Linked DNA regions of Callithrix jacchus. The protein of the gene in region 1 interacts with the protein of each later gene in a pairwise test. Links are inferred from orthologs where the notes say so. Each region holds a gene or a part of one and is shown in the gene's direction. Other genes may lie near its edges. The genes, in order: NME7, KRT18 and NEFL.

Region 1 (3,650 bases):
AATACGGAAGTTATTAAAAATTATTTATAACAAAAAAAACAGAATATAACCTACATTTGATAAGACAGGATTAAGAAATATTTCTACCTTATAAGATTAACTTTATTAATAATTTTTTTTGTTCATTATATTGTTGTTTCTGGTTCTAGCATGATGTAAAGAATCATCGTACCTTTTTAAAGCGGACCAAATATGATAACCTGCACTTGGAAGATTTATTTATAGGCAACAAAGTGAATGTCTTTTCTCGACAGTTGGTATTAATTGACTATGGAGATCAATATACAGCTCGCCAGCTGGGAAGTAGGAAAGAAAAGTAAGAAAATAATTATGTATTCTTTTTCCATTCTCTGACTTTAAGCCCAAAGTCAGGCAGAATTAAGACTGGGAGGTTTAACCATAATGAGGACAAATAGGACCTGGAAAATGGTTGTCTTCATTCTTTCTTTTTCTTTTCTTTTTAATTGAAAAATAATTGATAATATCATAGTTGTTTATGTCTCATCTGACTTAATCATATTTATGTCTCCTGTGGCACTTAGCACGTCTCCTTCCATAATGCAAGCACCTTCTCTGTATTAGCTGAATGAATTCATAAATCACAATTTAAAAATCTATTATTTATTCTTTCCTTTTTCCATTTTCTCCCTGTTTTCAAATGATGATCTTTGATATAGTTGACCAGGAAGATTTTGTCTAGATTGTTTGTAACTAATGCTGTCTGTTCTTGAGCTTTATTAACAGACATATATATCTAAGAAATGTTGATCAACTGATCAATTGAAAAATGACAATATGAGTGTTGTAAAAAGGAAAAAGGAAAGAAACCATATAAAGAAATTGTGATACTGGGAGACTGATCTGTCTTGTTTGTAACTGTATCTCTAAAAACTGTTATAGCGATACCTCAAACAGTAAATTATTCAGAGTGTGACCCACAAAAGTTTGTTAAATAAATGAGTGAATAAATTGATGTCATCGAAATGTCTGGAGTATGGTATGTCAAAGGAAGGGTTTCCCAATGGCTGGCATCCCGCCTCCTTCTCTTCCTCCCACTGCATGTGGCTCATTCTATGAAAGACAAACTGTAGCATGATGCCTCCACCTGTGTCTCTATTCTCTCTATTGTTTGTCAAAACTGCATTTATCATTCATTTTCTCAGTTTTGATTTAGAAGAGATACAGTCATCTGTAAAAGGGGTTAAGAAAAAAATTAGAAGAGAGAACAATTTGAAGATGCAATTGAAAGTTAGACTTACAGAAAACTAGGACTTTTGATAATGTTTTTCTTCCGAATATTGATTTTCAATATTAGCACAATGGCATTTTAATTTTCAGTCTCTGCATTTATGAGTTTCCAGTTTCTAAGACTAGAATTAATTATATTTGAAATGAAATTTTAATTCCTTTGTCATCTTTCTTGGCTCTGATTGCTGTAGCTTATATTTTATATGGTTTGGGGAGATTTTTTTTTCCTGCAGAGTGATTGGTATTGTAACTAAAAATAGGGATTATTAGTAGAAGTTAAGACTGTATGTATAAAAGGCTCCAAAAATGACTTAATTCAATAGGGAAAACAAATCAATCAAACTGTTTTTTGAAATCTACTACTCAAATGATTAGCTGATTGCATAGCATCTGAGTCACTCTCATAATAACATGGTATCTCTTTCTGTGACTTCCATAGTCTTTCTATACAAGCACTTTATAATTCTTGAGGTGACTGGATTCTCAGTGTGGCTGTTAGTACACAAATGGTGTTAGTACACAAATGGATCAGAGGGGTGGTGAATGCCTCATAAAAAAGGAAGACCAAAGACTCCCTTTGAAATAGGACAAACATTTCAGATATTAAATAAGGATCTTTTAATGTTATGAGATCTTATGTAAAAGTCTATGGGATTAAGGAAATGCCAACCATAATTCCTTTATTTAAAACTAATAAATATATGTAGCATTCGTTTATGGAGCACATACTATATGCCAGTCATTACAATACTCACTTTACATACACCTCAGTTCAAGACTACTTTATTTTATTATTATTATTTTTGAGACAGGGTCTGCTGGCTCTGTCACTCAGGCTGAAGTGAAGTGGCATGATCATAGCTCACTGTAGCCTTGACTTCCCAGGCTCAAGTGATCCTCCCAGGTCAGTCTCCTGGGTAGGTGAATCTACAGCCCTGCACCACTATGCCTGGCTAATTTTTTGGTGTTTTGGTAGAAATGCAGTTTTGCCATCTTGCTTACGCTGGAAGACTACTTTAAATATTTAAACTAGCAAAATAAGTGACTTAGGGAGGCAGGGTTAAGAGTCTGACCTAATAAAAATAAAATAGCCATTAAAATTATAATTTACATATTTTAATTCTGATTTGACAGAAGTGAATGTTGTTAAATCTATTTTATAGAATGGGTAAGTAACTTGTCTGTAGTCACACAGCTAGAAAGTAAAGGGAAATTGTATTTTTTGTCTAAAATTCATTCTCTTTCTACTAAACCTCTAATTAATAGGGCAGGTGCTGTTGAATGGGACTGATTTGAAAACAGGAGGAACGGAAGAATTCTATTTTAATATGAAGACAAATTTGAAGTATTTGGGCTTCATATAGTTAATGAAAATATATACAGTATATATTTTACTAACTCAAATTGATTCACCATCTTCTCTTCTTACTCTTTCTTAACTCCATATGGGTTAGAAAATCCAGCAGCCCTTTGGGTGATTTAAATAAATTTCTTCGAAACCCAAGAGTTTCAAAAATGTATTGTTTTATTTAAATGGCAAAAAGTAAAGATATGAAAATATATGTATATGTCTGTCAGCATTCTACAGAAACACCTTCTGTATAATAACTGATTTAGTCTAGTTCTCAGTTTTGTATAGTGTTGAGGAAAATTTATGAACGAATTACACTTTAGTCTTTTGTTTCTGTAATAAAGCTGGTAGTGAGGATGATCAGTGAAATTGATCCCATGGAGCTAACTGAGGAGCAGTTATCCAGATAATTTAATATAATTCAATTTAACTCATGAACTAGCTTCAGCTTTCCAATTCCCTTCGACTGTAGAAATCTGACATTTGGTTCACATTTCTATCCTCTCTATATAAAGATCCTCTAATCACATGGATGAAGGTTACAAGTTGTCAATGAGTCAGTCTTTGATTTTAATTTTAGCTAGTAATCAATTGATGCTTTATGACTCTGTTGTTTAGTTGTAGAGACACAATACAATTTGTGTCTTTCTAAAAATTTATTACCTCAAACCAGAAATAATTAAAAAGTTTTCATATGAAGAGTCAATATATATATGTATGTGTGTACATGAATGATAGAGGAATTTTATATGACAAGGAAGCTATTCCCCATATGATAAATGAGGTATTAAATGTTTACTTTGGTAGCTTTATAGCTATAGTAAGAAGTTTATAAAAATTAATGAAAAATAATGCCAGTATCCTATTTAAGAATTCATTAATTTTAAGTACTGAGCCACATATTTACATTCAGCAGTCCCATTCCTTTTGAATCTCAGCCGGAAAGCAAACCATCTAATCAAATGAAAGGGAGAAAGGTGAACAACATTATAGTAAATGCTAAATACATGAGATTCTTGAGCCCATCTTTTAACTTTCAGTGAAAGGAAGA
Region 2 (3,750 bases), on another chromosome or scaffold:
GGCTTGGAATCCAGATAGCCTTACAAGCGGGGACAGGGCAAGGACCAGCCTGCAGAAAAGTCCTAGTAAAGAGGTGAGGGGCACTGGCCCCCAGGGCTGGGTTGCTGCTAAGAACGTCCTAGGAGTGCCTCTCAGGTCCCATGCAAGATGGGACACATTACCACCTCCATGAGAGATTTTCATCTCTTCTGTCACCACCCTTTCCTCTCCCAGCTCCTAGAACTGGGCCTGGTGTACAGTAGGTTCTGAATACATACTTGTCAAATTGTAAATGCTCAGGATTTGTTTGACCAAGGATGCAGGAAAGGTGATATACAGGTGTGCAGAAGTGAGGACCCGTTCCACTGAGGCGAGGCAAGGGAGTGAGGTCGGCGGAGGGGGCTCAGAGACTGGGGTTGTTTCAGGCAGTCTGCACCTATCTGGTGAGTGAACGTGTGCGCGCGCGCATTTGAGAGCACACCTCTGTATGATTCGGGTGTGAGTGTGTGCGACGAAACATGGGCAGGCGGGAGTGTTTGGGAGCCAGGTGCCGCTGGGGTGTGCGTTAACCAGCAGCTGTGAGGCTCCGCACTGCTTCTCCTCCTCTTCTCCTCCTCCCAGCCTTTCTTTCCCGCGACTCCTGGGGCTCCAGGATGCCCCCTAAGATCCCCTCCACAGGTGGATAACTTGGGCTGCAGGCTGAGGACAGCTAGAGGGACTCACAGGCCATTCCACCCGCACACCACCAGACCCCCAAATTTCAAACCCGCCAGCACCTCCTCCACGTGGGGGAGAAGGGCATAATAGCGTCATTTCCTGCCCCGAAAGCAGCCTCGAGGGCCAACAACACCTGCTGTCCCAGTCAGCACCCGGTTGGCCACCCCGTCTCTGGGGGGTGGAGGGGGGGGCTTGGCAGGGCAGCGCGGGGGAGTGGCCCGGGGCGGAGAGCACGGCTCCTGCACCGTCCACCTGTGGCTCGGGCTCCCAAGCGGCGGGGCGGGGGCGGGGCCTCACTCTGGATATAACTCGGGTCGCGCCGGCCGCCACCTTCGTCTGCGAAGCCTGAGTCCTGTCCTCTCGCTCTCTTCCCCGGGCAGCATGAGCTTCACCACCCGCTCCTCCTTTTCCACCAACTACCGGTCCGTGGGCTCCGTCCGGGTGCCCAGCTATGGCGCCCGGCCGGTCAGCAGCGCGGCCAGCGTCTATGCAGGCGCCGGGGGCTCTGGTTCCCGCGTCTCCGTGACGCGCTCCACCAGCGTCCGGAGCGGCATGGGGGTCGGGGGCCTGGCCGCGGGGATGGCCAGGGGTCTGGCAGGAATGGGAGGCATCCAGAACGAGAAGGAGACCATGCAAATCCTGAACGACCGCCTGGCCTCCTACCTGGACAGAGTCAGGAGCCTGGAGACCGAGAACCGGAAGCTGGAGATCAAAATCCGGGAGCACCTGGAGAAGAAGGGACCCCAAGTCAGAGACTGGGGCCATTACTTCAAGACCATCGAGGACCTGAGGGCTCAGGTAAGGGGAGTGGTGGGAGAGACCTCAACTCCCAGCCATGTCTGATCCTCCAGTTATACACTCCTCTGCCTCTTTCCCTCATTCCATGTCCACCCCAGCCCCTACTCCACCGGGAAATTCCAGGATTTCCAACCAGGCTCCTAGCCACAGGCTCCCCAGGAGCAGAAGCTAGGCATGGGAGGGCTCTTCCCCAGGAGAGCGGGGGAAGGGGACAGGGCTGAGCTTTACGGAGAAGTGGACAGCATGGAGGGAGGTGAGGAAAGGCCTGTAAACAGGAGGAGACACTGGCTTCTGGCCGCGTGGGGACTATTGGAGGGTTAAGCGGATGTGGCTATGGCTGAATCATCTAAGAGTAAACATGGGGCCTTTCTTTGGGTGGGGCCGATCCAGGGTGTAGGGGGCCCAGAGTGAGCAGGTGCACTAGGGAAAAAATGCCAGGAGAGGGCCAGGGATAGGACTTTTTAGTAGTGGCTCACTTCCGGGCAGGCGGGCCAGCCATCTAGCCAGACTGCTGAGTCTTCCCAAGAGGGGCAGAGTGTTGGGATCTAGGAAAGGAGTCCAGGAAAGGAGGGAATGGGGTGGGGCTAAGATGAAAATGGACAGGTGTTCAAAGAGAGCCTCTGGCGATTCCTGGCACTAGGAAGTTTTCACTAGGACACATAACACTTTTCACACACTCAGCCCACCCATCACTGACTTTGCATTCATGGAGCAATCTCTCTCAACAATTCCCCCAGATCTTCTCAAATACTGTGGACAATGCCCGCATCGTTCTGCAGATTGACAATGCTCGTCTTGCTGCTGATGACTTTAGAGTCAAGTAAGTTGAGGGGCTAGGGAGCTGGGGGTCTGGGGATGGAGCTAAGAAGGGTATGCTCCCCTGGCTAGGTCAGGTAGGGGCTCACAGTGGGATCCTGTTCAGATGTGGGTGGATGAGAGTCAATCAGTGTATTCATTTAACTATTGAATTGTGTGTGTGTGTGTGTGTGTAGTTTCTTTGTTTTTGTTTTTGTTTTTCAAGACAGAGTCTTACTCTGTCTCCCAGGCTGGAGTGCAGTGGTGTTAACTTGGCTCATGGCAACCTCTGCCTCCCAAGTTTAAGTGATTCTCCTGCCTCAACCTCCTGAGTAGCTGGGGCTACAGGCACGTGCTACTACACCGAGGTAATTTTTATATTTTTAGTAGAGACGGTTTCACTATGTTGGCTAGGCTGGTCTCAAACTCCTGACCTCAGGTGATCCACCCGCCTCAGCCTCCCAAAGTGCTGGAATTACAGGGAAGAGCCACCATGCCCAGCCTAACTAATCATTTGTATAACCCTGTTTAAGAACATTGTCCTCCAAGTGCCAAGAATGGTGCTCAAGGCACTACCACCTGATTGCTGACTCAAGTTGCTGGTTTGCAGTGGGCACAGAACTGCTCTTAATAGGTGGTGTGTGTTAAGAAGGTCAGAGATAGGGGCCCCTCTGATCACCTGTACTCCTACAGGTATGAGACAGAGCTGGCCATGCGCCAGTCTGTGGAGAGCGACATCCATGGTCTCCGAAAGGTCATCGATGACACCAATGTCACTCGGCTGCAGCTGGAGACAGAGATCGAGGCTCTCAAGGAGGAGCTGCTCTTCATGAAGAAGAACCATGAAGAGGCAAGCGGGGGCCACTGGCCAAGCCAGGAACCGAGGGGCCAAGACAAGTCAGTCTAGGTGGGAGAATAGACAGGACAAGCCACTTCCAAGTGGCCTTGCCAAGAAGCTTAGAAATAGCAGCCTGGGCTCTTCTTAACAAGACTGTTCTGATAAAGAGCATTCTCAGGGGGTCAAATAAACTCTGTGGCTTACCTGAATTACAGGTCAAAATAATATGGATGAGAGGAGATGAGAACAAACATAGAAGCAGCTACTCATCACCAGGAGCTGGGGGTGATGGAGGAATGAGAGCAGGTGGACTTGGCAGGGCTTCCTAAAAGATGGTAGAAGGAGCAGGTTTGTGAAGGGGAGGGTGGATGAAGGGACAGTGAGAAACCATCATTTCTACCCACTGGAGAAACCATTTCTACCCAGTGGCATTTCTATGCACTGGAGCAGAAAGGCCAGAACTAGTATTGCTCTGAGTACAAGCCCAGGGCTTCTCCCGGTCTCTTCTCCAGCTGATCCTATGGGCCTTCTAGAAGAGGCAGTCACAGAGGAAAGGCCTTATTGGAGCCCTGACCCTGAGACCTCTGCACTTTTGCCCCTGTCACCTTTAGGAAGTAAATGGC
Region 3 (3,737 bases), on another chromosome or scaffold:
AGTTTGGTGAGGATCCAGGCAGCTTGAAGCTAGCTCCCCGCTGCCTAGCGCGCAGCGGCCTCAGCAAGTCAGTCTCCGTGTTAGTTTCCAACTCATTCTCTGCTCTTCGCCACCCACACACTGCAACACGTTAAAAGCATCCGCGGCTTCTTCATTCCCAGTAAAGAAATGTGAAAATCTAGAAACACTAACAGTCGGATCAACTGCTTTAAAGGTTTGGAAATGCTAAACCAACACCTGCAGTAGTGCCGCAGTTTCACGTGTGTGTGTGTGTGTGTGTGTGTGTGCGCGCGCGCGCGTCCGCACATTCCCTGTGTGTTGAGAAGCAGCACATTAAAGAAAAAGAAAAATAACGAGGAAAAAGGAAGATGAATTGCAGAAAGTGCCAGAAATAGCTATAAAGAAATTAAAACTCTTCTCCATACATACCGCAGACACACAACCTAACCTATTTATTTGTACCTAAAATCCCCTAGCGGCACCGTCACCATAAACACCAAGGGGGATCGTTAAAGAGGTCCCTGGTGGGAAAAGGGCGAGTTGGGGGCGGGGGCGGCAGGGTGTCCACGAGGTGCCGGGATACGGAAAACTAGGGTGTCAAAAGAGAGCAATAACCTGTTTTGGGGACACTTAAGGATCCAAGTGATAAGGGGTCTGGGCGGTGCAGGATGGTGGGGGGTGCGTGGGTGGATACAGAAGGGAAATGAGTGAGGGTGCATGGAATCTCAGAGAAAATCAAGGGCCTCTGAGCAGAGTGTAAAGGACGAGCGCCGCAGCTCCCCTGCCCGCCGCTCGCCCCCGCCTTCCCTTTTGCGCAGAATCCTCGCCTTGGCTGCAGCAGCGCGCTGCCCCCACCGGCCGGCGCGCCGCGATCGATCGCAGGCTGCGTCAGGATCCTCCCGGCGTATAAATAGGGGTGGCAGGACGGCGCCGAGCCGCACACAGCCATCCATCCTTCCCCTTCCCTCACTCCCCTGTCCTTCTCTCTCTCCAGGCTCCCGCCGCCGCCGCGGGCTGGGGAGCCACCGGCCGCCACCATGAGTTCCTTCAGCTTCGAGCCGTACTACTCGACCTCCTACAAGCGGCGCTACGTGGAGACGCCCCGGGTGCACATCTCCAGCGTGCGCAGCGGCTACAGCACCGCGCGCTCCGCTTACTCCAGCTACTCGGCGCCGGTTTCTTCCTCGCTGTCCGTGCGCCGCAGCTACTCGTCCAGCTCCGGCTCGTTGATGCACAGCCTGGAGAACCTCGATCTGAGCCAGGTAGCCGCCATCAGCAACGACCTCAAGTCGATCCGCACGCAGGAGAAGGCGCAGCTCCAGGACCTCAACGACCGCTTCGCCAGCTTCATCGAGCGCGTGCATGAGCTGGAGCAGCAGAACAAGGTCCTGGAAGCGGAGCTGCTGGTGCTGCGCCAGAAGCACTCGGAGCCGTCCCGCTTCCGGGCGCTGTACGAGCAGGAGATCCGCGACCTGCGCCTGGCGGCGGAAGACGCCACCAACGAGAAGCAGGCGCTCCAGGGAGAGCGCGAAGGACTCGAGGAGACCCTACGCAACCTGCAGGCGCGCTATGAAGAGGAGGTGCTGAGCCGCGAGGACGCCGAGGGCAGGCTGATGGAAGCGCGCAAAGGCGCTGACGAGGCGGCGCTTGCCCGCGCGGAGCTCGAAAAGCGCATCGACAGCCTGATGGACGAAATCGCTTTTCTGAAGAAAGTGCACGAAGAGGAGATCGCCGAGCTGCAAGCGCAGATCCAGTACGCGCAGATCTCCGTGGAGATGGACGTGTCCACCAAGCCCGACCTCTCCGCCGCGCTCAAGGACATCCGCGCTCAGTACGAGAAGCTGGCAGCCAAGAACATGCAGAACGCCGAGGAGTGGTTCAAGAGCCGCTTCACCGTCCTGACCGAGAGCGCCGCCAAGAACACCGACGCCGTGCGCGCCGCCAAGGACGAGGTGTCCGAGAGCCGCCGCCTGCTCAAGGCCAAGACCCTGGAGATCGAAGCATGCCGGGGCATGAACGAAGCGCTGGAGAAGCAGCTGCAGGAGCTGGAGGACAAGCAAAACGCAGACATCAGCGCTATGCAGGTGCGGCACCGCCCGAAACACAGGGGGGCGGAGGACTAGAGCACGGGGGAGAGTTGGTGCGCCCAGAAAGTGGGGACCAGGGGTGGTGCGGCTGCTGGCAGCTCTTGGGGATAAGGCTTGGCTCTTGGGCGCCTGTGTGGGCGGGGTGGGGCACTTGGAGGGCGTGAGCAAGGGCGCCACTGTAGTCTGGGAATGTGCTCCGTGCAGCTGCACCCGAGTTCCGCATTAAAGCTGCCCAGCCCGTGTTGGGTGGGGGAGGGGAAGATGTGGGAACTGGGCGTTGCCTGGGGCCTGCGGTGAAATTTCCTCTCTACTGACCTGTATTAACCACCAGTTACTTCGCAGCAAATATCAGATCATCTGGTTAATAAATAGTAGAGTGAATAACTCCCAATTAATTCTGAAAGGTTACGGTGACAAGCATGCTTTATGACTAGTTATACCAACCACTCCCTTCCTTTATTTAGTAGGTAGACAGGAAAATAGTTAACGTTGTTTTAGGCAGTTAACTAGGATGTTCATTTCTTTTTACTCTTTTCTTTTTCTTTGTGCAACATTTCTATTTAAAACATCTCCATCTTCTGGGAAGTAGAAAAAGTAAAATTTTAAAAAGATCTCTATTTTAAAAGATCCCCATCTTCTGGGGAGTAGAATTTTTTTTTTCTTCTGGGGAATAGAAAAATGATTTAGATACATAGGAAATATTTTAGAGAGAATAATTTTTTTCTCGTCTGGCTATTTTCTTCTGTACAGAAAGGCATTAGTTTCTTGGCATGTAACCCAGCTAAAGAAGATTTAATCAGTGGGTGAGAAACAGTTTTTCTATCATCTTAGTTTCCTTGCAGGCATTTTCTGATGATCATTAAGCTGTATTAAGTAAAGAAATAGAAGAAAAGAATTTTCTTCCATTTTGTTTGTCATCTCAGGCTTCATGAACTTGGCTATTTTAGGCAAGAAGGTTTTTAAAAAAATACAGGAAATTATTCTAGGGGAGATTTTATCAAAGGTGTGCACCTCGATTTTAATTGAAACTAGGCCTTTACAACTACACTACAGTAAAGTAATAGAAGATATTTATGCTTGGATATATTTTTTTTTTTTTGTCTTCAAACAGGACACGATCAACAAATTAGAAAATGAATTGAGGACCACAAAGAGTGAAATGGCACGATACCTAAAAGAATACCAAGACCTCCTCAATGTGAAGATGGCTTTGGATATTGAGATTGCAGCTTACAGGTGAAAATAGAGGGGCAGAGACAGCAGCCATTAAACCTTAGGAAGAAAATCAGATCCCAATTAAAGTTATGTTGGATCAGAAACCTTCAAGAATAGTCCTTTGAAATAATGAAATGTTAGTTTTTTGCTTCTTCCAAGAAGGTATTTAGATATATAAGAATTTAACCCTGTAATTAGGAGTCTTGTTTTTAGCTTCCCATTACCTTTTAAATCTGACAGGACGATTTCATGTGTTCCTGTTGTTGGTTTCTGGTCTCCATCACAAAATCCCCAGGCATTAAGTTTTGATAAATCCCAGCCCTGCTCCTGCTTCCCTTAGCCTTTAGGGTGCTCAGAGCAAGTTGTGAAACACAGGTTTCTTTTAACCTCACCTTCCATCTGCATCCCCAGGAAACTCTTGGAAGGCGAGGAGAC

The links.
Region 2: the proteins of NME7 (region 1) and KRT18 interact in binary tests that used the Homo sapiens proteins (3 or more experiments, as listed by UniProt). The two-hybrid records come from large-scale screens. The link is inferred for Callithrix jacchus from reciprocal best matches to the Homo sapiens genes NME7 and KRT18.
Region 3: the proteins of NME7 (region 1) and NEFL interact in binary tests that used the Homo sapiens proteins (3 or more experiments, as listed by UniProt). The two-hybrid records come from large-scale screens. The link is inferred for Callithrix jacchus from reciprocal best matches to the Homo sapiens genes NME7 and NEFL.

Annotation. Positions count from the first base shown.
Region 1 is NC_133519.1:33,151,048-33,154,697, forward strand, and holds part of NME7 (nucleoside diphosphate kinase homolog 7), read left to right. Parts: intron 1-149; coding exon 150-316; intron 317-3,650. UniProt on the Homo sapiens protein: Possesses an intrinsic kinase activity. Displays 3'-5' exonuclease activity with a preference for single-stranded DNA. Does not seem to have nucleoside diphosphate kinase activity.
Region 2 is NC_133510.1:66,605,296-66,609,045, reverse strand, and holds the start of KRT18 (keratin, type I cytoskeletal 18), read left to right. Parts: upstream 1-1,030; 5' UTR 1,031-1,077; coding exon 1,078-1,494; intron 1,495-2,231; coding exon 2,232-2,314; intron 2,315-2,982; coding exon 2,983-3,139; intron 3,140-3,738; coding exon 3,739-3,750. UniProt on the Homo sapiens protein: Involved in the uptake of thrombin-antithrombin complexes by hepatic cells. When phosphorylated, plays a role in filament reorganization. Involved in the delivery of mutated CFTR to the plasma membrane.
Region 3 is NC_133514.1:16,530,084-16,533,820, forward strand, and holds the start of NEFL (neurofilament light polypeptide), read left to right. Parts: upstream 1-937; 5' UTR 938-1,037; coding exon 1,038-2,084; intron 2,085-3,198; coding exon 3,199-3,323; intron 3,324-3,713; coding exon 3,714-3,737. UniProt on the Homo sapiens protein: Neurofilaments usually contain three intermediate filament proteins: NEFL, NEFM, and NEFH which are involved in the maintenance of neuronal caliber.